4 linked regions of the Diceros bicornis minor genome follow. The protein of the gene in region 4 purifies or fractionates together with the protein of the main gene of each other region. This does not show direct contact. Links are inferred from orthologs where the notes say so. Each region holds a gene or a part of one and is shown on either strand. Other genes may lie near its edges.

The links.
Region 1: the proteins of COPS5 (region 4) and COPS7A purify together in Homo sapiens (affinity purification with mass spectrometry; 19 studies listed by BioGRID and IntAct, counting the BioPlex papers as one, with this or other methods). This does not show direct contact. The link is inferred for Diceros bicornis minor from reciprocal best matches to the Homo sapiens genes COPS5 and COPS7A.
Region 2: the proteins of COPS5 (region 4) and BTBD1 purify together in Homo sapiens (affinity purification with mass spectrometry; 3 studies listed by BioGRID and IntAct, counting the BioPlex papers as one, with this or other methods). This does not show direct contact. The link is inferred for Diceros bicornis minor from reciprocal best matches to the Homo sapiens genes COPS5 and BTBD1.
Region 3: the proteins of COPS5 (region 4) and TXN purify together in Homo sapiens (affinity purification with western blotting; 3 studies listed by BioGRID and IntAct, with this or other methods). This does not show direct contact. The link is inferred for Diceros bicornis minor from reciprocal best matches to the Homo sapiens genes COPS5 and TXN.

The regions. Positions count from the first base shown.
Region 1 is NC_080756.1:55,005,229-55,012,486, forward strand, and holds the start of COPS7A (COP9 signalosome complex subunit 7a), read right to left. Parts: upstream 3,009-7,258; 5' UTR 2,902-3,008; exon of another isoform or gene 2,790-2,901; intron 2,423-2,789; 5' UTR 2,381-2,422; coding exon 2,219-2,380; intron 2,196-2,218; exon of another isoform or gene 2,161-2,195; coding exon of another isoform or gene 2,077-2,160; intron 875-2,076; coding exon 799-874; intron 568-798; coding exon 479-567; intron 1-478.
Region 2 is NC_080744.1:95,509,148-95,516,339, forward strand, and holds the start of BTBD1 (BTB/POZ domain-containing protein 1), read right to left. Parts: upstream 3,022-7,192; 5' UTR 2,982-3,021; coding exon 2,590-2,981; intron 1-2,589.
Region 3 is NC_080767.1:19,027,844-19,034,693, forward strand, and holds the start of TXN (thioredoxin), read right to left. Parts: upstream 3,002-6,850; 5' UTR 2,918-3,001; coding exon 2,894-2,917; intron 1-2,893. UniProt on the Homo sapiens protein: Participates in various redox reactions through the reversible oxidation of its active center dithiol to a disulfide and catalyzes dithiol-disulfide exchange reactions.
Region 4 is NC_080772.1:19,447,625-19,454,484, reverse strand, and holds the start of COPS5 (COP9 signalosome complex subunit 5), read left to right. Parts: upstream 1-3,932; 5' UTR 3,933-3,983; coding exon 3,984-4,126; intron 4,127-6,404; coding exon 6,405-6,639; intron 6,640-6,860. UniProt on the Homo sapiens protein: Probable protease subunit of the COP9 signalosome complex (CSN), a complex involved in various cellular and developmental processes.

The sequences.
Region 1 (7,258 bases), on a different chromosome or scaffold from region 4:
CTGGTGAACCACAGGCCACCGCAGCGGAGCACGCACACTTAACTGCTTGCGCCACCGGGCCGGCCCCTGGGTTATGCATTTCTTATTCTAGCAAATAGAAGCCTAGCACTTCAACGAGGAGAGAGACCCTCGTTCCCATGGGACTTTATATAGTGGGGAGGAGGGTGATTGTTGAACAACACAGAGAACAGCATCCTAGTCGTCATTTTGACACAAAGCACAAAAGATGTTTTACTTAGAACTTAAGTTGACTGAAAAATAAAAACAAAACAGAAAACTAAGAGAATACTACTCAGCCTAAAAGGCTGCAGGTAATGAAGTTTAGATACAGACCTTAGAGGGATGTGGGGGGAAGGCAGGAAGAAGCAACAGTATGGTCAAAGGCTGTCTGAGTGCAAATTCCCTTCAGATGGGCCCTTACGAAGGGACATACCGAAGAGTGCTCTTTGGCTCAGGCCTGGGGGGGACTGTCACTCACCTTGACTTTGGCAGCCAGGGTGACGACTGATAGGTGTCGAAGTTTATTCTTCTGAGCCTCTGTGAGTGGGGGAAGATTCCGGGCTTCAGCTGGGAAAAAAGGACAAAGTGTAGGAAATCCTGACTTCACTTTTGTGGGAAGCCCTAGCCTTCTTCCTTTGCATTTCTTTGTGTGTGTTCTCCATGCCAATTCAGGTCTTGACCATGACCCTGCGTACCTAAGGAACCTAAGTAAGGTATGCCAGGAATTTCTTCTAAGTCCCTCCAGAAATTGCCCTTCTCCCACCTCCATGACTCCGGAGCTCCAGCCCCTCTGGTTACCTAAGTAGTCAGCATATGTCCCATAAGCAAACACCGTGAGCAGCCGGAATGTGGACGCGAAGTCACTCTCAGCCAGCTGCAAGAACATAAGCAGGGAGAAGAGGTGACAGGAAGGGCCTCTCTCTCCAACCTCCCAGCCTTACCCTGGTTTGAACTCCACTTTCTGGCCCCATCTTTCCCCTCCAACATTAGCTCTCCCAGCTCACCAAAAGGAACTCTCTGCCTCTCTGATCACTTTCCCAAATTCCCATAGAATTTCCCAATTCTGCCTCACTTCCCCCTTCAGGCCTTTGCTTACACTATTCCCCCAATCCACAACGCCTTGTTCCTCCACAGGCCTCCAATTCCTACCCTAAATTCAGAGGTGAAAACGTTCAGAGTGTTCAGTGTCTCACACACACACACACACACACACACACATTATAAACGGCGTTGTTTGGTCCTTAGAGTGTGTTTAATATTTCTGCATTTGAATATCTTTAGGCAGTCTGCTGTACTCCCCAATTCACCAAAGACGCCTCCCTCAGCCTCTCTCATCTCTGATAGCTGCATGGCCTAGGCAGGCACTGGAATTTGTGGCCTCTGTTTCAGACCTGCCTCACCCAGAAGGCTTTCATCACCCAGGCCAGCCCACCCAGATCTCCTCTCTTCCTATCACTAATCACTCATTCTGGCACTTAATCAATCAAACCCTGCCTAAGGTTGTTACCCAAGAATATGTTTCTTTTCAACAAGATTACAGACCCAGCCTCTGGTATCCCACTTAGGTCTAGCAGAGCTATGCACGTAGTCAGCTCTCTAAACAAATACTTGCTGGTGTCATACATCTTGGTGACCCACACACTCTGGACTTTAAACTCTTAACTCTGCTACTTCTGTGTGAACAGTTCTCTCTGCTGTGTTTCTAGCCACGTGTCTTTGAGGAAAAGAAACCTCCTAACTTATCTAACTTAAGTGAATTAGCTATCATGCAAAAGGGGGAGAAGAGGGCATGCCAATTTCATGTTTGTTCCTTCCATTTGTCCCAGACTTTACACTTTTCCATAATCTCAACTGATTCCTACAGTAACAGTGAAGGGCAGTATCAGCTCCCTTTTTAAAAGAGAAAACTGAGGCCCTAAAATAAAAGTGACTCGATCAATGTTACACTGGCGGAGACAAGCTGAAATCAGGTCTCCTATTCTGAATCACATGCTCTTTTGCTTAAAAATGAAAATACTGGGGTTTACAGATCATTCATCCCCAAAGGGAAAGTAGGAGGTTTACTTGCATACTTACTTTTGCAAGCTGCCAGTTAATCATCAACGCATTCTTGTTCAACTGAATGGTTATGGGGTTGCAAAACGTGCCCTGCCCACTCATCCTCAAATCCAAACTTTAGCCCAAGTTTCCCTGTGGGCTATTCAGGCCAGGAACCCACCTCTCTAACATTAGGCATATCCAGCAGTTCCCCAAACACGTAGACACCAGGGGCCTCCAGCACCTGGTGGATGAGTGTGGCCAGCGCTGCCCCCTTGGCCGACTTGGCCAGGAGCAGAAACTGCTCCTGGTTCTGCCCTGTCACCTTCACCTCGGCACTCATGGCTGCACTGAGCTGGGGGACCTGGGCTCAGGATGTCTGGAGCTGCAAGGAAAGAGGATGTGAAGCTGGAAGTCCCTCAACACTGGGAGGTGGGGAAGTACAAGGGCTAGGGACTGGTCTGCAGAGGCACTGAGTGTCTGCAGTGAGGAATCAGAGATGGAGCTGTCTAAAACTCGGATCTAGGAATCCTAAAATTGGCCACTTTGATGGAAGTCTGGCTGAGACAGGATGGCCACGCCCACCCTCTCCCATCCCTGGGCCTAATCTCAAGCCCCACCACGTGCACCCCCTTGAACCCTAAGGCAAGGATGCAGTGGGGAAGGAGTGTCACATGATGTCCACCCCAACGACGACGCTCCCTCAAATCGCCACTGGTGCCCCGAATGTACCCCCAGCCACGTGATGTCACCCTCACAGTCCTTCCACGTGGCTCCGCCCCCTCCCTTAAAGAAGCCGCCAGGGACCGTGGGCTCCCGCAGCCTGCCCCGTCCTACCCCGGGTCAGACTCTGCGGGCCGCTACCTGGAAGCTTCGTCTTCCAGTGCACCGGGCGGGGCCGCCGCTCCGTCACCTCCGGCAGCTGCTCCGAGCCCTTCCTGAGACCTCTCTGCAGGGGCACTCTGGCCACTACACTCTATGGCTGACTTCCGGCCGTACTTCCGCTCTTATGAGGCCGGTTTCGAGCGCAACATGCCCCGCCCCCTCCTTCCGACTGCTGAAGCTCCTGTGAGTGACACAAGCATTCTACTTGCTGATTGGCTGTTGAGGAAAGAAGGACGGGTGCCTTTTTTTCTGCTTTGTTTTAATAAAACTTTATTGTTGGACGAGCGCTAAGACGCTAAATGCAGAGGGAACTCGTGGTCTCAGTCCGGTACCTGGTGGTTCTGTGGCAGCTCTAAGCTGCCTGATATCTGGAGATCCAGGCTGCACGGGTGCCTGAGGCGAGAGGAAAGCTATAATGGAGAGAGAGGGAGAAGAAGAAAAAAGGTGGGGGGATGAAGAGGAGAGAGGAAGAGGACAAAAATCAATAATAGAAGTTTAGCACCAGAGATCACCTGGGTAGTTCAACCACTCATTTTTTTGAGGAACAAGAGAAAAGAAGTGGAAAAGGTAAAGCAAATAATAATATCTAATATGTATTGAGTGCATACTATTGGTTAGGCATCTTTTAAAATTTTATCTTATTGAATCCTCATAACTATACTGTGCCCCCAGTGTGACTCCAGGACACTGTCTATCGTGATTACATGTACTTGTAGAGTGATGCTTTCCTGTATATTGACTCTTAATTCCTCGAGGAGGAAAAAACCCTAGGTGGAAGGAAGGCATATGTTATTATTCTCATTTCACAGATGAGGAAATTGAGGCTCATAAAAATTCAGAGATTTGCCTAGAACCCAGGTCTTTTCAAAGCCAAAGCATCTTCCCATTTTACCACTGTATTTTAGGAAAAAATAAACAGCTAACATTTCTACACTTTTATCTTTCATACCAGGCTTGCAGAGGGTCAAATGAGAATAAAGTTAATGACTTCTTGGAGGCCTTTGTGTTAAGCACTGAGCTAAGAGCTTTACTTAATTCATTTGATGGTTATAATAATCTATTATTATTTCCATTTTCCAAATGGAAAAATTGAGGCCCAGGGAAGTTAAGTAATTTATAAGTAATGGAAAGAGAGAAAGTGGGAAAAGAGAACATAAATGAAGAGAAAATCACAGGACTGGTAGACTGCTGGAGCTGAAGGGACTTGAAGCTCAAAGTTTATGGTCCACATGGCTTGGTTTATGATAGAAAATGAGAAGCAGAAACTGGGAAAGGAGAGAGAGAAGGAGAAGAAGAAAAAGAAGGAGGAAGAAGTGGCAGAGGAGGAGAAAGAGAAGAAGAAATGAATGGAAGAGATTACACATAAAAGTGAGAAGAGGGGCCCGCTCCGTGGCGTGGTGGTTGAGTTTGCACACTCTGGTTTGCCGGCCTGGGGTTCACAGGTTCAGGCCCCAGGCGCAGACCCACGTACTACTTATCAAGCCATGCTGTGGCAGGTGTCCCACATATAAAGTAGAGGATGATGGGCACGGATGTTAGCTCAGGGCCAATCTTCCTCAGGCAAAAAGAGGAGGATCGGCAATAGATGTTAGCTCAGGGCTAATCTTCGTCACCAAAAAAAAAAAAAAGTGAGGAGAAGAGATCAAAGGCATAAGAAAATATCCAAAGTTTGGAGGAACCAAAGAATTAATGAATCCAGTCTTATCAATTTAAAGAGGGAAGGAAAAAGAAAAATATGAAGAAAGAATGAGAAAAGAGCCAACATATGTTCTATTATGTGCCAGGTCTTTATTTGTTCAACTTTTTTTTTAAGACTTTATTTTTTAGAGCAGTTTTAGGTTTACAATAAAATCGAGAGGAAGGTACAGAGATTTCCCATATACTCCTTGCTCCCATACACGCATAACGTCCCCCATTATCAATATCACTTACCAGAATGGTACATTTTTTATCAAGGATGCACCTATACTGACACATCGTAATCACCCAAAGTCTGTAGTTTACCTAAGGGTGGGTTTGGACACCCGTATAATGACATATATCCATCATTATAATATCGCACAGGGGCCGGCCCCCTGGTGTAGTGGTTAAGTGCACACGATCCGCTGCTGGCGGCCTGGGTTCAGATCCCCAGTGTGCACTGATGCACCGCTTGTCAGACCATGCTGTGCGTCCCATATAAAGTAGAGGAAGATGGGCATGGATATTATCCCAGGGCCAGTCTTCCTCAGCAAAAAGAGGAAGATTGGCATGGATGTTAGCTCAGAGCTAATCTTCCTCACAAATAATAATAATAATAATATCATACAAAGTATTTTCACTGCCCTAAAAATTCTCTGTGCTCTGCCTATTTATCTTTCCTCACCCCCCACCCCTGGCAACTACTGATCTTTTTATTGTCTCCATAGTTTTGCCTTTTCCAGAATGTCATAGAGTGGGAATCATACAATATGTAGCCTTCTCAGATTGGCTTCTTTCAACTTAAGGTTCCTCCATGTCTTTTCACGGCTTGATAGCTCATTTCTTTTTAGTGCCAAATAGTATTCCATTGTCTGGATGTACCACAGTTTATTTATCCATTCAGCTATTGAAGGACATCTTTCTTCCAAGTTTTGGCAATTATGAATAAAGCTGCTATAAACATCCATGTGCAGGTTTTTGTGTGGACATGTTTTCCACCTCTTTAGGTAAATACAAAGGAGCATGATTGCTGGATCATATGGTAAGAGTATGTTTAGTTTTGTAAGAAACCACCAAACTGTCTTCCAAAGTGGCTGTGCCATTTTGCATTCCCACCAGCAATGCATGAGAGTTTGTATTGCTCCACATCCTGGTCAGCTTTTGGTGTTGTCAGTATTCTAGATTTTGGCCATTCTAATACGTGTGTAGTGGTATCTCATTGTTGTTTTAATTTGCATTTCCCTGATGACATATGATGTGGAGCATCTTTTCATATGCTTACTTGACATCTGTATATCTTCTTTGGTGAAGTATCTAAGGTCTTTGACTCATTTTTTTTTTCCTTAGATCAATGTGTCATGGAATGACCCATTTTTTAATTGGGTTGTTTGTTTTCTTATTTGTTGAGTTTTAAGAGTTCTTTGTATATTTTGGATAACAGTCCTTTATCAGATGTGTCTTTTGCAAATATTTTCTTCAGTCTGTGGCTTGTCTTCTAATTCTCTTGATATTGTCTATTGCAGAGCAGAAGTTTTTAATTTTAATTAAGTCAAGCTTATCAATTATTTCTTTCATGGATTGTGTCTTTGGTGTTGTATCTAAAAAAGCATCACTATTCTCAAGGTCATCTAGGTTTTCTCCTATGTGATCTTCTAGGAGTTTTATAATTTTGCATTTTACATTGAGGTCTGTGATCCATCTTGAGTTAATTTTTATGAAGTATGTAAAGTTTGTGTCTAGATTCTTTTTTTTTTTTTTTTTGTGAGGAAGATCAGCCCTGAGCTAACATCCATGCCAATCCTCCTCTTTTTGCTGAGGAAGACCGGCCCTGAGCTAACATCTATTGCCAATCCTCCTCCTTTTTTTTTTCCCCCCCAAAGCCCCAGTACATAGTTGTATGTCATAGTTGCACATCCTTCTAGTTGCTGTATGTAGGACGCGGCCTCAGCATGGCCGGAGAAGCGGTGTGTCGGTGCGCGCCCGGGATCTGAACCCGGGCCGCCAGCAGCGGAGTGCGCGCACTTAACCCCCAAGCCACGGGGCGGCCCTAGATTCATTTTTTTGCATGTAAATGTCCAGGTGTTGTAGCACCCTTTGTTGAAGAGGCTATTTTTGATCTATTGTATTGCCTTTGCTCTTTTGTCAAAGAATAGTGGACTGTATTTATGGGGGTTTATTTCTGGGCTCTCTATTCTGTTCCATTGATCTGTTTGTCTATGCTCTTGCCAATACCACACTGTCTTGATTACGATAGCTTTATAGTAAGTCTTGAAGTCAGGTAGTGTCAGTCTTCCACCTTTGTTATTCTCCTTCAATATTGTGTTGGCTATTCTGGGTCTTTTGCCTCTTAATATAAATTTTAGAATCACTTTGTTGATATCCATAAAATAACTTGCTGGGATTGGGATTGAGATTGCATTAAATCTATAGGTCAAGTTGGGATAAACTGATATCTTGACAATATTGAGTCTTCCCACCCATGAATATGGATTATCTCTCCATTTATTTAGTTCTTTGATTTTGTTCATCAGAGTTTTGTAGTTTTCCTCATAAAAATTATATATATAGTTAGATGTACACCTAAGTATTTCTCTTTTTGGGGTACTAATGTAAATGGTATTCTGTTTTTAATTTCAAATTCCACTTGTTCATTGTT
Region 2 (7,192 bases), on a different chromosome or scaffold from region 4:
CTAAAACAGCGACTGGCACAAGGGAGGAACACAGTATTTCTCAAATGAACAGCTGATGAACATCACTTAAAGGTCAGGCAGATAAAAATGAGCAGTTTCTTTTTTTTTTTTTAATAATTTTATTTTATTTATTTTCCCCCCAGAGCCCCAGCAGATAGTTGTATGTCATAGCTGCACATCCTTCTAGCTGCTGTATGTGGGACGTGGCCTCAGCATGGCAGGAGAAGCGGTGCGTCGGTGCGCGCCCGGGATCCGAACCCAGGCCGCCAGCAGCAGAGCGCGGGCACTTAACCGCTAAGCCACGGGGCCTGCCCTGAGCAGTTTCTTAAAGTGCTTCAAACTCACGTTCAAAAGCCTGTAACTAATGTTAACTAATTCAAGTTGCGCACATAATAAAAGTATGCCCAAGCTAATCTGCTTTTCCAACTCAGCAAGTGCTAACATCTTTTTGTCACACAATAGTAGGTTCAGCATCTACGTTTCACAGCCAGCCAATATCTAGGTTAAACTCAGTCCAGATATCACTTTCAGAATAGAATAACGACTGGAACCTACCTGAAGAAGGACAAATGCCATGACTACACTGAAAATAGGAAAATTTCAGGGACTCTGAATTAATTCACTTATTTTCTATTGATGGGAAAAGACTGATTAATAGCTTCAGTGAAAATATGAAATAAGCATTTTTCCCTCTACATTCTTATCCTAGCAATCTCAATATTTTTTAAAGGGAAAAGCTACCCAACAATATTTTTTGATCACTGGCTCTCAAATTTAGCCAGTTAGTATTTTGGGAGAATATTAAAAATGCTCTTGAGGTTCTACCTCAAAACACTGCAATATTGTAAGGAGGGAAGAAGGGATCTACAAATTCAAGAAGTACTCTGGGAGATTACAATGCAGATGGACCAACAGATCATTTTAAAACACTTCCAGTCTAGAAAATCTAAACAAGCTATAACCAATCCTCCTGGTCAACTTCAAACCAAAAACCAAAATGACCTAGATCCTAGCTTTTGAATTGTTTTCTTCTCCTTTTATAAATGTAATTGAACTAAATTACAGAAAATATGGGCATCAAAGAGAAAAGAAGAAAAAAAAAAGGCAATATCATCTTAACAATCCAACACAACTTCGGTTCACATTTTGCTGTTTCCTTCTATCCTTATCTCTAGGTACATGTTTGTTCTGTTTCTTTAACCACAGTGTGCACAGTTTCAAATACTATTTATTATACACATTTTCCATGTTAATGTTACTACCTTGTCTTGATAAGCATCATACTTAGTAGCTGCATGACATTCCATCAAATTGACCTATCACTGTATATCTAACCATTCCCTCCAGTTGACTACTTCATCACTACTATAAATAATCCTGCTGCAAAATTTTTGTAGACTGTTTTTTCAGTACTTGAATACTTCTTATCTGTGGTAAAAAAAAATCTTTGGTGCCAAAGTGTTTTACCACCACCTTTGCAAGAGAGGGCTCCTCTGATGGTTTAACAGAAGACGCAAAGTACTTTACTTTTAATTTGCACTTCTCTAATTACTAACGAGATTAAACATTCTTTGTTAATTAGTTGTATTTTCTTCTTTCCCTAAGCTATCTATCTTGTCCTTTATCCATTTATTAACAGGATCTTAGCATTTCTTTCCTCCTTGGGTTAACTCTGTATTCAATTTCCTATTTATCTTCCTGATTGAGCTGTGAGCCTTTGCAGGCTGTCATCTGTTCCCTGACCTACCTGTTTTTGCCTCAGTACCACCCAAGACTCTGCTACTAATAACAACACATTCTACTCAGGCAGCTAAAACCATTTTGGTATAATGAAACACAAACGGTCTTCCGTGTGAGTTGGCTCTGTTACCTTGGGCAAGTTATCTGACTCTTCTGGGCCTCAGTCCCATTTGTAAAATTGTGGGAAACAAGACCTATACCTCCCTAATTGGACTTTTGTGACTAAAAGCTAATAATGGCAAACTATTAGCTCCCTTCCATTAAATAAAATTAATCAGAAGTCAATCTACTATCCTCAAATAATCAAAAAGCAAACTCGAACACCGATGGAGGGATTCGTTTTTAGGCTAGTGTGACCTTGCCTGCAGAAACGCAAGGCAGGTCAAGCCACACTTATTGTTTTGGTATTCACTTTCCTGGGTCTTGACAACTAATACTTATGCTAATGAAATAGGAGTAAGAGTTTAAAAGAAAAAAAGGCCCTAGGTCCTACAAGACTTTTCAACTATTCCCCTCTCCCCTCAAAAAACATAAAATTTGGCAAACGGGCCATCAGGACAACCTGACCCACACTCTATCCTTCCCACTTCTCTAACTCTGAAGCCTCGGCGATAATCCGCTGTTGGAACGCGAAGGCGCCTCTCAACGGCAAAGCGCACGCTAATGGGACCCCGACCTTAACCTTCGCCCTAACACCCGGCGGCGGCCGCCCGCCTGACGGATTCTGATTTCGACCTTCCGGAGCATCACCGGCTCGGGAGGACAGAGGCCCGGGGCGGGTCAGGAGAGCCCGGCTCAAGGTCACCGGGGAGTCCGGGCGGCCGGGCCCCGTCGGCCGGGGCCGCTCACCTCAGCAGCGCCAGGAAGGCGGCGGGCTCCACGTCGGGCAGCTCGATCTCGGCCGACGTGGTGGCCATGCCGCCGTTGAACATGGCGTCGAAGACGGCGCTGCCGGCCGCCAGCACGAAGCGGTGGGCGGGGATGCGCTGCGGGCCCCCGGCGGCCGCGGCGCCGCGGCCCTTGCCCAGCACGAAGCGCACATCGCTCAGCAGCTCCGAGTTGAAGAGGAAGGCGAAGCGCTCCTTCAGCGACGCCTTGGTCGCCTGCCAGTTGTAGAGCGGCTCGCGCTGCAGGGGGAGCAGGGGCCCCAGAGACGATGGCGACGCCGGCGCCGCGGCGCCCGACTCCGCCTCAGCCCCCGGGCCCTGCTCGCCCGGAGCGGCCGGCCCGAGCGAGGCCATCCTCTGGCGGCGCAGGGCCTGGCTAGGGAGACAGCTCCAGCGACCCAGCCGCCATAGCCGAAGCCGCCCCGGAGGCTGGCGCCGCCCCCCTGCCTTCCGGAAAAGGCGTTTCCGGAGCCGCGCGCCGCCGCCTGCCCCGCCCTGCTCCGAGTCGCGGGGAGCGCGTCCCCGCGCCAGGCGCGTCCCCGCCGGGTCGGGGTGCGGAGGCGCGCGCGGCCCCCCGAGCTGGGGCTGGAGGCGGGCTCCATCGATGAGTCGCGTGCCGGGCGCGCTGAGCAAGTGTGAGCCCCGAGCTGGATGCGGCCAGGCCCAAGCCCCAGGCTCCTCCTCAGACCTGCGGGCCCTTGAAGCTTCTGCCCTTTTGTTCCCTCAGGCACTCATCGCCAGCTGCAGCGCCTAAGACAGGTCCCTAGACTATGCCTCAAGGAGTTTCTCGCCTGGAAGTGGAGGGGGCTGGAGGGCATGATTCCTCACAGCCCCCCAACCCCAGTGATGTCCAAGTCACCACTCCAGAGGGCCGCTGCTCTTGTGTAATCCCAGGATCTGAGCTTGGAACCCCCTACATCTAACAGCTGATGTTCTGTAAAAAAAGAGCCCTCCCTTCTCTTTCCCCCTTCCTCTATTCTGTCTGTTTTCCAGTATCATTGTGGACTCATGGATTCTTTTTTTTTAATGTCACCAAAAATTGACCATATTTTATTTATTTATTTTTGTGTGTGTGAGGAAGATCAGCCCTGAGCTAACATCCGTCCTAATCCTCCTCTTTTTGCTGAGGAAGACTGGCTCTGAGCTAACATCTGTTGCCAATCCTCCTCCTTTTTTTTTTCCCCAAAGCCCCAGTAGACAGTTGTATGTCAAAGTTGCACATCCTTCTAGTTGCTGTATGTGGGTCACGGCCCCAGCATGGCTGGAAAGTGGTGTGTCCGTGCGGGCCCGGGGAACCTGGGCTGCCGGTAGCGGAGTGCGCCCACTTAACTGCTAAGCCACTGGGCAGCCCAGACCATATTTTAAATCTCAAAAAAAACCTTCAAATGTACCAAAGCAAACATGGTACAGGTGGCATTATCTGGTACAAAACAATAAAATCATAATTTAGTAGCAAAAAATAGGAGGACACATATCAAAACTTATGGAATGCAGTCAAAGCTGAGCTCAAGCACAAGCCAAAAACACTTTAGTAAACTGGAAATAATAAAAATAATGAAATAGAGGATTCTGGGAAGATGGCAGAGTAGGAAGCACACCAGGAATCTGTCTTCCCACCTAGACAACAATTGCACTGGCAGAATCTGTCTGATTCTATTTTGGAACTGTGGAGTATGTTGAAGGCTGGTGACTTCCAGAGGAAGACTTGGACAGTCAATTGCTGTGATTTTCAGTTTGCACAGTGGCAGTTACCTGTCCCTCACCCCCAGCCCCATGGCAGGCAGCTGTACACATGTTCCTGGCGCAGCTTGCACATAGCTTATGGGAGCCAGGGTGGGCAAAAAGGAACCTGTCCTCTAGATATCAAGGATCTGTGCTCTGATGTCTGCTTCTGAACACAGGTGTAGACAAAGAGGGGTAACCATTGTTGTTGCACCTCTTGGTGCTGTTGCAAGCCTCCCTCCCCCCAGCTGAAGTGAATTCCATGGGATTTAAAGGACCAGCACCCTTTTTCCCCTCCTTCATTTTTCACTTTTTCATCTTTTGGGAACCAGACATTTAAAGACTAGTAGATTAAAAACAACCTCATATAAGATGGGGAAAATTAGAAAGTGACCATCCACACCCAGGGAAAGGCTGAAAAAAGACCTGAGAAGACCTTAAGTTTACACTTCAGGCTTATCCTTGGCACAGAGACAGCCTACAACAATCAAAAATATAAAAACAATAACAAAAAAACAGCAGATCTTGGGGAAGACGGAGAACCTGATTTCCAGAGTGATCACATTGCTAGATTCGAATGTCCAGTGTTCAACAAAATAATCATAAGGCGTACAAAGAAATAGGAAAGTATGGCCCATTTGAAGGAAAAAAAAATCAACAGAAACTGTCCCTGAAAAAGACCTAATGGCAAATATACCACACAGACTTTAAAACAACTGTCTTAAAGATGGTCAAAGAACTTAAGGAAGATGTGGAGAAAGTCAAGAAAATGATGTGTGAACAAAATGGAAATATCAATAAAGAGATAGAAAACCTAAAAAGAAACCAAAAAGAAATTCTGGAGCTGAAAAGTACAATAATTGAAATGAAAAATTCACTAGAGGAATTCAAAGGAAGATTTGAGCAGGCAGAAGAAAGAATCAGAAAACTTGAAGACAATAGAAATTATCAAGGCAAAGAACAGAAATAAAAAAGATTGAAGAAAAGCAAACAGAGCCTAAGGGACCTATAGGACACCATAAAATGAACCAACATATACATTGTGGGAGTCCTAGAAGGAAAAGAGAGAGAGAAGAGGGCAGAGAGAATATTTGAAGAAATAACGGCTGAAAATTTATGAAGCAGAAACTGATAGAATTGAAGAGAGAAATATACAGTTCTACAATAATAGTTGGAGACTTCAGTATCCCACTCACAATAGTGGATAGAACAACCAGACAGAAGATAAGTAAGGAAAAAGAGGACTTAAACAATACGATAAACCAACTAGATCTAAGAGACATATACAGCACAGTCCACCCAACAACAGCAGCATACACATTCTTCTCAAGCGCACATGGGACGTTTTCCAGGATAGACCATATATTAGGACACAAATTAAGTCTCAATAGATTTGAAAAAACAGATATTATGCTAAGTATCTTCTCTGACCACAACAGGATGAAGTTAGAAATCAATAACAAAAGGAAAACTGGAAAAGTCACAAAATTGTGGAAATTAAACAACACACGTTTAAACAACCAATGGATCAAAGAAGAAATCACAAGGAAAATTATAAAATACTTAGAGATAAATGAAAACACAATATACCAAAACTTATAGGACACAGTGAAAGCAGTGCTATGGGGGAAATTTATAGCTATAAAGGCTCACCTTAAAAAACATGCAAGATCTCAAATCAACAAGCTAACTTTACCACTTAAGGAACTAGAAAAAGAACAAACTAAACCCAAAGCTAGCAGAAGGAAGGAAATAATAAAGATTAGAGCAGTGATAAACAAAATAGAGACTAGAAAAACAAAACAAAATCAATGAAACCAAAAGTTAGGTCTTTGAAAAGATCAACAAAATTGATAAACCTTTAGCTAAATGGACTAAGGAAAAAAGAGAGAAGACTCAAACTACTAAAATCAGAAATCTCAGTGGGGACATTACCACCTATGCTACAGAAATAAAAAGGGTTCTAAGAGAGTACTATGAACAACTGTATGCCAAAAAATTGGATAACCCAGCTGAAATGGACAAATTGCTAGAAAAGCAAAAAAAAACTTATTTTTTTCTCTCCAAAGCCCCAGTACGTAGTTGTATATCCTAGTTATAGGTCCTTCTAGTTCTTTTACGTGGCACACTGCCTCCGCATGGCTTGATGAGTGGTGAGTAGGTCCACACCCAGGATCTGAACCAGCAAACCCCATGCTGCTGAAGAGGAATGCGCGAACTTAACCGCTACACCACTGGGCCGGCCCTAAACAAAAAACATTTTAAACACTTGTTAAAATAGTAAGAAAGACTTTGGGCTGGCCCCATGGCTTAGCAGTTGAGTGTGCTCCGCTACTGGCGGCCCAGGTTCGGATCCCAGGCGCACACGGAGGCACCGCTTCTCCAGCCATGCTGAGGCCGCGTCCCACATACAGCAACTAGAAGGATGTGCAACTATGACATACAACTATCTACTGGGGCTTTGGGGGAAAAAAAAAAGGAGGAGGATTGGCAATAGGTGTTAGCTCAGAGCCAGTCTTCCTCAGCAAAAAGAGGAGGATTAGCATGAATGTTAGCTCAGGGCTGATCTTCCTCACACACACACAAAAGAAATAGTAAGAAAGACTTTATTCGAGTCTATCGAATGGGGGCATTGCAACAGGTGAGAGTAATCAAGCTCAACTCCAAATACAGCACTGACAGCTGGGGATTTATAGCCAACAAGCAAAGTGAGGGGGTCAGTAGATGGAAAATTACTATGAGGAGATGTCAAGGGTAGGGGGATTCTTGCTAAACTGACTTCAAATTCTTGCTGAAGGCAAGCCAGGGTGATCAGTTATCAAGGGTGGGGTATGAGGAACTTG
Region 3 (6,850 bases), on a different chromosome or scaffold from region 4:
CACTCTCAAGGGTTTCCCAAAAATGATTCTGAATCAAATTCAAGCAAAACTACCTAAAACTCTGAAAAGAGGCATGCAACGATAACTTTTGGCTTAACTGATCAGGAGTTACAGAGCCAGGTATGTGCAGACTTCATAACAAATTCTCATCTCCTGATACTTAAAAGTTTGCCTAAAACAGACATCAGTTTAAAAATGATTCAAGACTATCGAAGATGCAAAGCACCATTTCTAGCTCCTGGAAACTAACAATGAGGATTAATCAAGGTACCCATTACTGACACAAATGTTCTGAAAACAAAACAATGGAGCTGAGCTGAGGTAGATAAGAGCAGAGTCTAGCATCTCTTTTCCTAAACATACCCATTCCAGAGATAATAAGCTTAAGAGTGGATGTGAAGCATTTAGCAAAATGCCTGTGTGTAGAAGATAGTTCAATAAATGGCAGCTACCATTCTTTAAAGAAAAGAAAACAAACTGTTGATTTCTTTCTCATCACATTTATAATCCATTATCCCACTCATGTCTGAAATAGAGCCTAGTGGCTCTAAACCAACACAGTGCCTCAGAGTTATCCTGGATGGCCCAGGGCACCAACGTAGTCCACTAGGATGAAAATCTAAGGTGCATTCAATATTCACAAGTAATGGTCAAATTAATTTAATTTTGATGACTCTGGATCACAATTTTGAAGATCAACTGATTATCAGGGTCCTTAGGCCCCAGGCTAGTGCTTTTTTGAGTAATGAATTTCCTGTCACCCTTGCACATCTTCCCGCTGATGAGAGGAGGAGAGTGCCATCTTTCCAACAACTAAAATAGGGAAGGACTGAAAGGCGTACTCCAGGAATCAATTTTTTGTTTGTAGTGTATGGAATGTGAAACAACTAATAGAAGCCACTCAAAGGCTGCCTCACTCCTTCAATGGGTTCTCACCTGCTGGGTTATACTGATGAGGTCGCCAGAGGCTGGAGAACACCCCCACCGCAGATTGTCACTTAGGAGGTACTGAATAAAATTATGTGGAACAAAACTCACTATCAAGGATCTCTCTTTTCAACAAATGAGAGGGTGCTAATTTTAATATAAAAGCTCACACAATTTAAAAAAGGAGGATCCCAATAGGAAAAAATTGATCAAGGAAAAGCAGACAACAGACTACCATTAGCCAATCAACATATGCGGGGGGAGGGGTTCAGAGTCACTAATAATCAAAGATATTCAGATTAGATTGGGACTATTTTTCTTACTAATGATTTGGCCGAAGTTACGGGGGAAAAGTCAGCGTTCATGGGGTGGAGGGCAAGGAGAACTCTCCTATGTTTCTTGGGGCACTGACAAGCTTTAAAAGGTTCACCATCACTGCACTCGAGACCCCAACCTGAGGAAACAGTCTGAACTCTGTCTGTACAAAGCGTTATGAACAAAAATATTCACTGAAGCATCGAAAACCGCCGAAACGTGCAGTAATGCGTTCAGATATTGAAATCATTACAAAAGCTTCTCGTTACATGGAAAGTGTTCAGGCTAAATTAGACAGGGATAAAAAGCTCAGAAACAAAACAGTATACGTAAAATAATCTCAATTACTTTGTGGTTGCTTCTAGGAAATAGACAATCTCCCTCTTCCCAAATTTTCTACCATGATCATACATGTTTTCTGATTATAAAAGTAACAAAAAGATAAGGGATCATCACAGAGAAACTTGTTTCCCAAAGCCCATCCCAGCAGCTAACAGGTGGGGGCACTCATGGCGGGGGAGGTCTCGCCTTCCCCCTGCTTTATCCTAGGGTCGGGGGTACCGCAGGGGTAATGCTTTGGAGAGGTCTTCCACTGTTCCAGCAACATCAATGCTCTCTCACTCACTTTCAAGACTCTGCATTTAACAAACATTTCTTGAATAGCTACAATATACCAGACACTATGTTAGGCTCTGAGTTTTCCGGGCAGGAGGGTATTAGGCTTGCAATGACTCTCCAGTAGGAGAACACTTTTTGCCTTGGGCATCCCTAAAAGGACAGAACCACCAACAGGGTACCCAGGGGCGACGAGCACGCAGGCGGGCACGGCTGCTCCCAGGGGAACTTAAGGCTTCAGAGAAATCCACCCACTGTGGGTGAATCACAAATGGGTAGGGCAGCGCAGTCCCCTGGGCCTAGCCTTGGGGACTGAGTCATTCCAAAGCCAGCGCCGCCGGAAACACGCCCTGCGCCGCAAGAGGAGGAGTCCCAAGGGCGCCGCTCGGACCTCACTTCCTTGCGGCCACCTGGGCCTCCGGGCCGGACTCCCACACGCGAGGAGGGTCTCCAGCCTGGAACCGCCCCCTTTGCGCGGATACAGCACGCGTCATCTCTGGGGACCGGCAGCCGGAGGTCTCCGGCCTAGATCCGCTCCCAAGGGAGCTCACCCACCCAGCGCGGGTGGATCACGCCGCTCACCGGCGAGAGAGTGGCGGCCAGCAACCCCGTGCTTTCTCCAAGGGTCCCTCCACCTGCTGGCCCGGGCCCGTATCCGGATATTTATGGGGCCAAGGGCGGACTCCCTCCATCCCCTCCCTCAATTACGGCTTCCCGGACCGGGAGGTGCAGGAGGCGCAGAGGGGGACACCTGGGCGCTCCCAGTGCGCGTGCATCCCCCGGGCGCAGTGGGCGCGGGCAGCGCTGGGCACCCCGACCTCGCCCTCCAGGGCGCCTTCGTCCCCCTCCGCCCTTCCTCCAGGGCATGCTCGACACCTCCGGCGCACCCAGGCCCGGGCTTCTCGCAGTCCCAGGCCGAGCCGCCGCGTCCCCTTCGCCCAGGGATGCGGAGCGGCGGCCTGCCCAGCTCCGGCCCCTCGCCTTCCCCAGCTACGGAGGCTGCGCGTCGCGCCCGGCCTTCCCCGGGAGCGCGTACCTTGCTCTCGATCTGCTTCACCATTTTGGCAGCTGGAGTCTGACGAGCGACCGCAACAAGCGATGGAAGCGGATCCAAAGCGTCGGACGCAGCTTGGAGCGAGCGCAGCCCTCCTTCCCTTTATGCAGTAGGGGCGGGACGGGCGGGCGCGCGCGGCGTGCGTGTGGCGGGGGCGCGCCCGCTCGGGCCTCCCGAGCCCGCCAAGTCGCCCGGCCAGGCCCCGCCTCCCGGAGCCGCCGGGTGGGAGCGGGATCAATGTCGGGGGGCGGGGCCGTCGCCGGCGCGGGGCGGAGCTCCGGGAAGCACCCTCCGCCCGAAACCGCCGGCAAGGCTGTCCCGTACCCGGACTGGGATTGGGGACCTGTGGGGGCCATCGAGCGACCAAAAGGGCGCGTGCAGAGTGCACGGCGCGGGGAGGCGGGGAGGCGACGGCCATACCCAGAGCCACAGGGTCACGTGGGAAGGGGTCAGCCAGGCCTTCATAGAACGCGCCCAGGATCGAGAAGGTGCCGCCAAAGCCGGCGCTTTCCTGGAAGAGGCCCGCCACGCCCCCGCCCCCCAGCCGCGCGCACCCCCCAAGGTGCTGAGTAAAGAAGACCGGGAATTGTCTCTGCGTGTGCAGCCTGCCTCCTTCTCGGAACTCCCGGCGGGGATTCTCTGCTGCTCTTGCCTCGTTCACGTTCTTTCACTTTCGCCGGTGAAGCCGCTGCTTCAGCGTGACACCGCAGTTTAGTGCCATAGGGACGGCCGGGCACCTGGCTGGGCTCCTGGCGAGCACACAGCTGCGTGCGGGATGTGAGTACGGCCAGAGTGGTGCAGTTGTGACCCCGAGCGGGTCCTGACTGCCCGGTGCCTCAGTTTTCGTTTCTGTAAAATGGGACCCATGATGGTCTCTAACTCATGGTGGTGTTTTGAGGATTAAATCAAGTGCTTGTAAAGTGACTAGGATACTGCTTGGCACATGGTGAGCGCTCAGTAAATAGTTATAACGGTAGCTATTGTGAGCACTGATAAGGCTTGCTTGGTGTCATGGGGGGCCGTGCTGAGCTTGGCGACCTTATCTTTCTGATGGCACCGGTACACACATTTGTTGAATTTTTTCTACCAGTAGTAGACCTGGAGCAGAGAAGTGGGCCGTTTGTGTTCTTATAGGGATGCGTGTGGCAGGTTGCGTCCGGCAGGACTGGGGCTCGTGGAAGTTATGTTAGCGGGCATTGTGAAGCCAGGAGGGCCTTTCAGCAGCTGGAAGGGGAGGTGGAGAAGCTTTTGGGCTGGAGAGAGGAATGAGAGCCGGAATGTTGGGGTGGGGGGTCTGAGTGTGAATTTTCAGAGTGGAGCAGCTCTGGACGAAGCTACATCCATGTGTGATTGGCTGGGATGTTGAAATTGCTCCCTGGCTTCCTCTCAGGGCCCCTAGCTTCTCCGTGCTCTCTCAAACAGAGGAAGGAAGAAAACCAGAGGTGTTGAACCTATTGTGCAAAGTTTCTGGAGGGATGAGGAGCACAGGGCCATGGGTAAGGATATGGACAAGGGACACATGCTAAGGACAATCCTAGACAGAGGAGGGTGGACTGGCCTGAATGCAGCAAGCTTCCCATAGACAATAAAGACTATTGGGGCAGAGGAGAGGCCTGTGCTCCTGGAGTCCCAGGAGCAGAATGTATAACTTGCTTTGCTGCTGCTGTGTCTTCAGCCCAACTTACATCCCAGCTTCTAGGCCTATCTATCAGTTGGTACATTTATATGGGACATGACCTTAAATGATTCAGCTGTAGGAAGAGGAGGTATAGATCTCCAATGCCCATCCAAACCACCCTCAGCTGACATCTCTCCAAGGACCTTACAAATGTCCAGTGACTCGGTTGGAGGAGGTCCTGACTCCCACCTTCAGAGGACCAATATAAAGTAGATATGGGGGATGCTACAATTAGAGGGCACTGGGAGGCTGGCGTGTGTGTTAAGATCCCAGACCCTGTGATTAGATTCCCTGTCCTCATCCCCATTCTACCACTCTGTGGCTGGGTAACTCTAGACAAGTCTAAATAGCCTTTCTGTGCCTCAGTTTCCTCATCTATGAAATGGGGATAATATGCTATTATAAGGGTTGAGTGAGCTAAGATATGTGTAAAGTGCTAAGAATCTTGCCTGATATGCAGTAAGTGCTGTATAAAGTATGGTTACAGGCTATTAAATGGAATGGTGAGATCCCTCTGGAATGAGGGCAGAGGTAGAAGAGGCTGTAAAACAGATGTGCAAGTCCTAAGTGAATTAAGTAACCAGGAAATTAGTAAAGATTAGTGAGCTCAATAACACGAGTCTCAAAGGAAAAGGATTTTTTCCCTATCTAAGTGTGAAAGAAAAGTGGGCTAGACCTGGCCCTACCTAAAGAGGAACATCCCCTGCCTACAGGGATATAAACTTGCGTCCTTAGGATTTCAGTTGTGGCAAGGAGGTGATGTTCTGTGAGGAAAGTGAGGTGGAGGGGAATTGTTTGGGACAGCCCAGTCAGGGGGGATCCATTGGTGCAGAGAGCTAGGGGTGAGAGGAGGAGAGAAAGGGTGATGTAAAGGCCTTCATTTGGGGGTCAGTTCTGTGTATTAGTCAGAACTCGCAGTTGTAAGGAAGATTCCAGCTCAAACTGACTTAAACCAAAAAGAGAATTAGTAACTCATATTATCAGGAACCCCAGGGGCCTACAGATGTCACAGATCTCTATGGTTTCATTCTCAGGAGGTTCTCCACCTTATGTAAGACTAGCCCAGGCAGCGCCAGGCTTCTGTTCCTACCAGTTCAGTATCCCTGAAGGAAGGCCAATCTTCTCCCCGGTCCTAGTAAATGTCCCATAGGCTGACCTTCATTGACTTGAGTTGGGGGGAGGCGTCAGCCTTGCTTGAACCATTTTGACCAGGAGTGAGGAAAATCCAGAGGGTCACCAGAGAAAGGGGACATGGATGCTGGATAGGCAAAAGTGATGTTTCCATGTTGTCAAGAAGAACAGAAATGAGTAGTGTGGGTGAGGAACTCACTTCAGATTTCTGGGTCAGCTCAGTCTGAGGCCCCATGGGGGACTGGAAAACTAGGTTTGCTGTCTTTGTTCACATCTGAATTTGAAGAAAATGCAGCTCTAGGGCTTCTGAGGCAAAGTTTGCTCAGATCACAGATTCCTCTAAGTGTGGCCCTTGATCACCTCATTCAGCACAGCTAGGGGTGCTGATGATACTGCAGACTCCTGGACCACACACAGACAGGCACATGGAAGCACAGCCTTTGGAGGTAGATCCCTGGAATCTGCATTTTAAAGAAGCATCCCAGGTGATTTGGTGTAGAAGATTTGATAGACTGCCCTGGGATCTTCAGAGGGAGGCCAGCTTGAAGGCTGTGTCTAGCAAGAGAGTTGAGATGAGGACACAAAAGAGAAAATGGTAACGGATATAAAATGGGGAGTTCAAAATAATATAGTAAAGAAGGTGGTCGAAGGAAAAGGAACAAATACACATGCATAGAACAATCATTAAGTGCCAGGCCTGGAGGTAGGTGTAGCTTCATTTTTCTCAGCATCCCCTCGGAGACAGATATTATTCTTCCCATTTTACAGAGAAGAAAATCAAGGTTCAAAGAGGTCACCTGGTCACACCAAATGCACACCAATTCTTATACTCTGTTCAAGAAGGAGAGGACTTGCCAGCACTGTTTTAAGCCAGCCCAACATGTATCTTGAATACCCCTCTTTTAACCAGTGAAAAATATCTAACATTCCTTACACTAATTTACAAACTGTAACTATAAGGATATTCGAATAGTTGGCAGAAACATCCTCTGGTACATCAATTCCTATTTGGAGATTTTTCAAATACTAATTTTTTTTTTTAATTTTTTGTTTATTGCAGTAACATTGGTTTATAACATTGTAAAAATTTCAGGTGTACATCATTGTACTTCTATTTCTGCATAGATTAC
Region 4 (6,860 bases):
ACCCTGGGCATGCACGGACGCACTGCTTCGCAAGCCATGCTGTGGCGGCCTCCCATTTAAAGCGGAGGAAGATGGGCACGGATATTAGCCCAGGGCCAGTCTTCCTCAGCAAAAAAAAAGAGGAGGATTGGCAGATGTTAGCACAGGGCTGATCTCCTCACAAAAAAAAAAGACTGAAAACAGAATAGCAGGGAGTGCTAACACATGGGTGTGGGGTGTGGGGAGGAGCCTGTGAAAGAGCCTTAGAAGAAAGAAAGGGAGGGATGAGGTGAACCAGGACAATGTTTCTCATTTCCCATCCATCCAGAGATCTTTCCACCAAACGAAAGGTGCTCAATCTTTTTCTACTGACAGGGTGACAAGCACATAATCAACCTACTTCCACAGGCACACCCCGATTTTGACAAATCCCCCCAAATGTTGCTAAGAAATAAATACCATGTTGCTGGGGGGGAAAAGGGAGGTTGGGGGTTAGGATAAACAGAGAGAGTGAATATATAAAAGCATTATTAAGTCTGTTAGCAGCTGTTAATAATACATCATTATAGTGACCACCGACAGCAGCATAAATTAGATAGCCTTTGGGTAACGCAAAATTGCCAAAACACTTGCTCAACTGCCTGTCTCTCCCACTCAGCAAAGGAATCAGAATACAAGTCAGAATGATGTTAAAAGGATAATCTGAAATCTGCTCAAAGTTTGTGAGAATTAAATTGCATTTGTCTGAAAACTTCATTTGAGAAAAACTGTACTGAAAGCATCCTGTTTCAATTTACCCTATCTAAAACCACTTGCTCCCTTCCAGAAGCTCATCTGTACTGCAGGAGACCCAAAATTTCATCGCTGGGAGCATTTCAGCAGATATTTAACCACCAGACAGTCAGTGTCCTCCTAGCGAGGGAAGGATATGCAGGAAAAAAGCAGCATCTCATTGGTTTCCATGGGATTCCTTTTGGCTTGTCAACATGACAAGCCAGTTTTTCATATAAAACAGCATCACTCTAAGGATAACTGGCTTTTTACCAACTCATATTGGCTGCTATTAGGCTATTGCATTTTCCGAGGTGTTTCGAAACTAGGTGGTGGTTTACTTTAGAATTTAGTCTTCCCGGAAATCCAAGCTAAACTCTTTAATCCTACAATCTTGAGAGCCAGCCTCTCTCAAAAGATGAGTCCCATGGCTAACATCTACTGAAAACTGGATTCAAACCCCATAAAACAATCCTAAAATCAAGGCAGTTAAAAAGAAGAGGAAGGAAACAAAGAGCCAGGGGCAATAGGATAATAGCACCCGACCTCACAGGGCTGCGGTGATTAAATAAATTTTACTTGCAAAGCAAAGCGGCGGGAACAACGCCGGGCGCACAAGCACTCGGCAAACGTTAACCATTAACCAGCACCGCAGAGGAAAGGGGCTTGGGGAGGCTTAGCCGAACGGCGGAGCCCCAGCTGAGGGGGAGCGAAGGCGCACGGCAGTGGAAGCACCGCTCGTCTCTAGGAGCTGTGGGTGGCGGCCGCGTGAGGAAGCATCAACGCGTTGTCAAGCAACCGGCTCTCAACAACACCCGAGGCGGCCGCGGCGGCTGCGGCCCGGGAGTTCAGACTCGGTAACCAGGGCTCCGCCCCCGCGCCAGCCCTGCTGCAGCGAGACCCCCACCACAGGGAACCATGCCCCGCGGAAACCGGGCACCGCCCCCAGCCCGGCGGCCGCGAGACCCCATGCGGCAGGAAACCCGAGCCCCCGAGCCCCGTAACCCGGACACCGCCGCCGTCCCAGCCGTCGCGAGACCTCCGCCCCAGGCAGCTCCTGCCCCCGCCCCGGGGCCGCGAACGCAGCCCTGGGACACAACCCCCGCCCCTCGACCGCACCCCGCCAGGCCCGCTCCCCACCCGCGGCCGGCGAACGCTTACTCAGGAGAGCGGGCTCGCGTCCGGAGAGACGCACAGCGCTCTAACGACGCTCTCCGTGGTCGAAACAGGAGGCGGCAGCCGCCTGGCGCGGGAACAGTGTGACAGCCGCAGGGCCCGGGCTCCGCCTCTCCGGCCGAGCCCTCCGCCCGCCCTTCGCCAACTGCCGAGCGCGGCCCCGCCCCCACAGCGGCCGCGGGGGAAGGCCGCGCGGCTGGGGGCGCCCCCTGCCGCCCCGGAGGCCGCACAGCCTCCTGGCTGTTCGCAGGGCTCGCCCGCACCTAGGCTAGGTACTTAAGCCGCCTGGCTCCCCTGCTCCGCCTGGGGGCTTAAACCGTGCGAGCCACTTCCCAGGCTAAATCGATTCCAGCCCCTCCAAACCCTGCAAGCCCCAGCCGGCCTGGAACAGGGTCGAAACCTGGAAAGAAAAAAGGGTTGAGGTGGCAGTGAGAGAAAAACTTGTTGACGTACTTTTCCAAGACATTACGCCTCTCCCAGGAGTCTGGTCAACGTTTTGTCCTTGGCTTTTATTACTAATTTCAACATACTCAGTTGACGCCAATATTGAGTGGCCATATGCTACCACCAGAAAAGAGATCTCTAGCTTCCCAGGAGAATAGAAGAGTCCTTCATCCTAAATTACTTCGTAAGAGGCTTTTAAAGACAAATTTTCAACTGAAAGTCAATGTCAAAACCGCAGGGGAGGACGTGGATTAGATAATTCTAATGTTTTTGTTTGGAATATACGCCACACCGTACTAGGAGTGGAAGATACAACTCAGAGCGGAGTGTCCTACATTCCGAAGCTTACAGTAAAAAAGAAAAACTTTCAAGTAAATAATTATTACTATATTAAAAGATATATATTATCAAAAGATTAATATTAGCTCCCAGGCAGAAAAGTTAGGGGAGAGCATTTTAGCCAATGCTGACCACATATGCAGTTTCAGGATGACTAAAGAAAGATGAAGCTGGAGACATGAGCTCTGATGCTATTCTTTTGTTTTTCTCCCAGCAAAAAATTTATTGAACATCTATGCTAGGTGACAGGGATAAAACAAGGAACACAAACCTGGTCCCTGTGTTTTGGAACTTAGAATCTAGTGCAGAGAGGGAGAGAGGCGGAGAAGGAAAAATCCCTAAAACAAGAAAATAAATGAAATAATTAAACATTGCATTAACTGTTGGAAGAAAACACCTTGCTGAGATTAATTCGGTCTCGAGGACAGAAGTGGTTTCACAGAGCAATGCTGAAGATTAAACTAAACTATTATAAGAACTGAGTACTGGACATTTTCAGAATACTATTAACTCATATAGATGTTACTTTTTACAAACACGCCAAATAGCATGTTCAGAGCAATCCACCAGTTTCCACAGCCGCCTCCGAACGCTAGAGAACGCCCCTCTGAAAGCGTAGCGCCCAACACCAGGAGCCCACAGGATTTTACGCATGTGCAGTGAATCATCTGGAAGTAAACTAGGATGCCATGTTTATCTTTCTTTCAACCAGCATCCATAACTACTTATATCTCAATTTTTCCACAGACATCCTTATTTTTCAGTCTTTCAACAAACATTTCATTTAAGGTACCCACACCCACATAAAATTTTCTTTCCCCATCCCAGCTTAAGGATCCACCCATTTTTAATATGGCAGAGGCCGAGCGTGCGCAGTACAAACAAAGAGGGCCACTTCCAGTTTCTGGCATAACGTTACCATGCCCTTCTTCCGGTGCGGAAGGCTATACCATTCCCGTAGCCAACATTGTGTTTGTCCTAATTCACACATATAATTTTCCAAGATAATGTGTCCTCATTTCAGCCACAGGAAGATTCCCCTGTCTCTCACTATTATGAAACTGCTGTTTCTATTGTCGCCCCCCGAAGGGTCCCCGCCATCCTCGAATGGTCTGTACCAACTTCACCTCCGGTTCTAGGTGTCATGGCTGCCTCGAGAGCCTAGTACGAGTTTGCACCTGTGGTGGGGAGGGTCCGAAGCCCACAGCCGGAAACCTAGCGAGGTAAAGTTGCGTTTTGGTTGTGGAGGCGACGACTTCTCCGATTCCTCAACGATGGCGGCGTCCGGGAGTGGTATGGCCCAGAAAACCTGGGAATTGGCCAACAACATGCAGGAAGCCCAGAGTATCGATGAAATCTACAAATACGACAAGAAACAGCAGCAGGAAATCCTGGCGGCGAAGCCCTGGACTAAGGAGTGAGGAGGTCCCTGGCGAGACGCAGGGGAGGGAAGGGGTGGCGGGAGTTTGAGACCCAGAGAAGTGGGAATTGAAGGGGTGGAGAGCCTGTCTTTTCGTGGGCAGGGAGGAGAAAGAATATGCGCCTGAGAAATTTTTGTCTACCTCTTATCCCCGCAAGTAGAGATCTTAAGCTCCTCCACGGGGGCTTGCTTCGACTGCCCTATCTGTTTCTTTAACCCGTTTGCCTCCGGAGGATGGAAGAGGAAAACGGCAAGCGGTGATTTGGGTTGTCACTTCTCAACATCCGTTTTGTCGTATATGCCACCCACTATGCATTGAATCCTGCGTCTATAGACACCTTCTTGGGACCTTCAGCTGATCCCATACTGGAGACTGCAGCTGTCTTCAGAAATTGAGTTAGCCCAAGGGTCTCTAAAATAACTATGTGCCATCTTTTAGAGATCTATAATTGTTTTTTGATTGCTGGTAATTATTTCAGAAACACAAGGAGGCTCTACCCAGTCTCCCAAAATGTTACTCTACCAGTGCACATAAACTAGAAATTATATCAATAGAATTTAGGGCTCCTTGCCTCTTAGCAAAACCCCTGTGTCCCTGGGAGTGATGACAAATCGAGGTTCATTACTCAGCATTTATCCTTTCCTGAGAACAGATTTTGTTAAGGAGAAAGTAAAAAAAGCACAATCTCTCTAATGGAGAGAAAGAAAGGAGAGCGGTGGTTAACAACAAAAACTGTACTTCATTTGTCTCCCAGTTTTTTATGAGGCAAGCTTTAAGTGTCAGTATTCAGATTTAGCAGTGTTCATTGAGTACTTAATATGGGCTGAGCGCTGAGCTAGGAATTTCCATATGTCATTTAATTCTCATGACAACACAGTACTGTATTTTCATTCCTTTTTTGAAGATAAGAAAACAAGCAAATACAGTAACTTATTTTATGATCACACTAAGGCAATGAACTCTTAAGTGAGCAATAGTCAGACCCAAGATCAAATCTCACAGCTGTCACTAGTTGATTCATCCTAGGAAATTTACTTATCCATCTTCATTTTTTAATCTGTAACGTGGAAATAAGACGTACCTATTGGTCATGCCATAAAGATTAGATGAGGTAATGTATAAAAACGGGTCTAGAATGTATGTAATAGGAGCACAATAACTGTGTCTTTTTTTCTTTTCCCCAGTAAATGGAGGAGCCAAGATTTTAATTCATGTCTTGACTCCCAAGACCACGTCTCCATATTTTTCAGTTGTGATTGAAATCTGTGGGCAGACATCTTAAAAAGGCTTCTCAGAAACATTGACTGACCACTCTATACAGACTGGTTAGTTTGCCTGATTGTCTTCTTACTTCTATAGCAGGCTATGCATTTTAGGTTGATGTAGCCTATTAAATATTTGGAAACTATCAGGTTGCCTCACTGATTTTGGATGATTATATTCATCCTAGCTGTCTTGGGCTGCATCAATGAGACAGAAAATGTAATTTTATTCAAGAGCAGTTTAGTCACATCCACAAATGACAAACTCTGAAGTAGTGATTAGAGTAGAACTGAAGATATTAGGGCTACATTTTCAATTTTGAAGCTGATACCACAGAGAGAAGCCACACTCTTCAACACACTATTCTTTGGGAGTATTGTAAAAGATAGGTTAATAATGCTAATAACAGCTAGCACTTACAAAGTTTTAGTATGTGTCAGGCACTAAGCTAAGCACTTTGTATATATTATTTCATTTACTTTATTTCCTTTTAACAACTCTATAAAATATCCCTATTTACAGATGAGGAAACTGAGGCACAGACATTAAGTGGTGGTCTCAAGGCCACAGCTAGGACCTACACAGATGGATGTCAGAGCCCACATTCTTAACCATTAGGCCAGAAGGTTAAGCCTGAGAACAGTTAGGTACAACCATCCAAACAGAGTCAGAATCAGAGATTTGGTGATTCCAAAATTAATGGAGAAAAAATCTATTAAAGTGGTCATGTAATTCCCTCCTTTCTCCTTGAATAGCATATTTGAAAACTATTTCATACTTTTCCCTTGCCCCAAGGCGAAATACTTTGCAGGACTATGACATATTTATTATTTCCATCCCCCTGTAGGAACTCTGTCCTTTCCTACTTCCTTTTTCTTTCCTACATTCTACATTCTTTCTCCCCCTTCCATCACTGTAAATTCCTCCAATATTTGTTATCTTCACAAAAACTGTCTTTTGAAATTGTACTTTATATAAGAAAGTTAATTACACTGTGCTTTTGTTTTGTAGTCACCATTACTTTAAGTACTGCAAAATCTCAGCATTGGCTCTACTGAAAATGGTGATGCATGCCAGATCAGGAGGCAACTTGGAAGTGATGGGCTTGATGCTGGGAAAAGTGGATGGTGAAACAATGATCATTATGGACAGTTTTGCTTTGCCTGTAGAGGGCACTGAAACCCGAGTAAATGCTCAGGCTGCTGCATATGAGTACATGGCTGCATATATAGAAAATGCCAAACAGGTAAAAATGTTGTTCCTTAAAGTTTAGTAACTGCAAGTTAAGAGTCTCATGGTTACTTCTGGGTTGCTAAGCTTAAAACTATCCTCTTTACATTAAAGTTTCTATTTTAAGTTATTTCCAACAATTTTTATATAAAATGTATATGAGATTAACACGGATTTTTTTTTAAATAAATTCTCACACTCGAGAGTAGGTCTTAAAAATTCTCATCACAAGGAAAA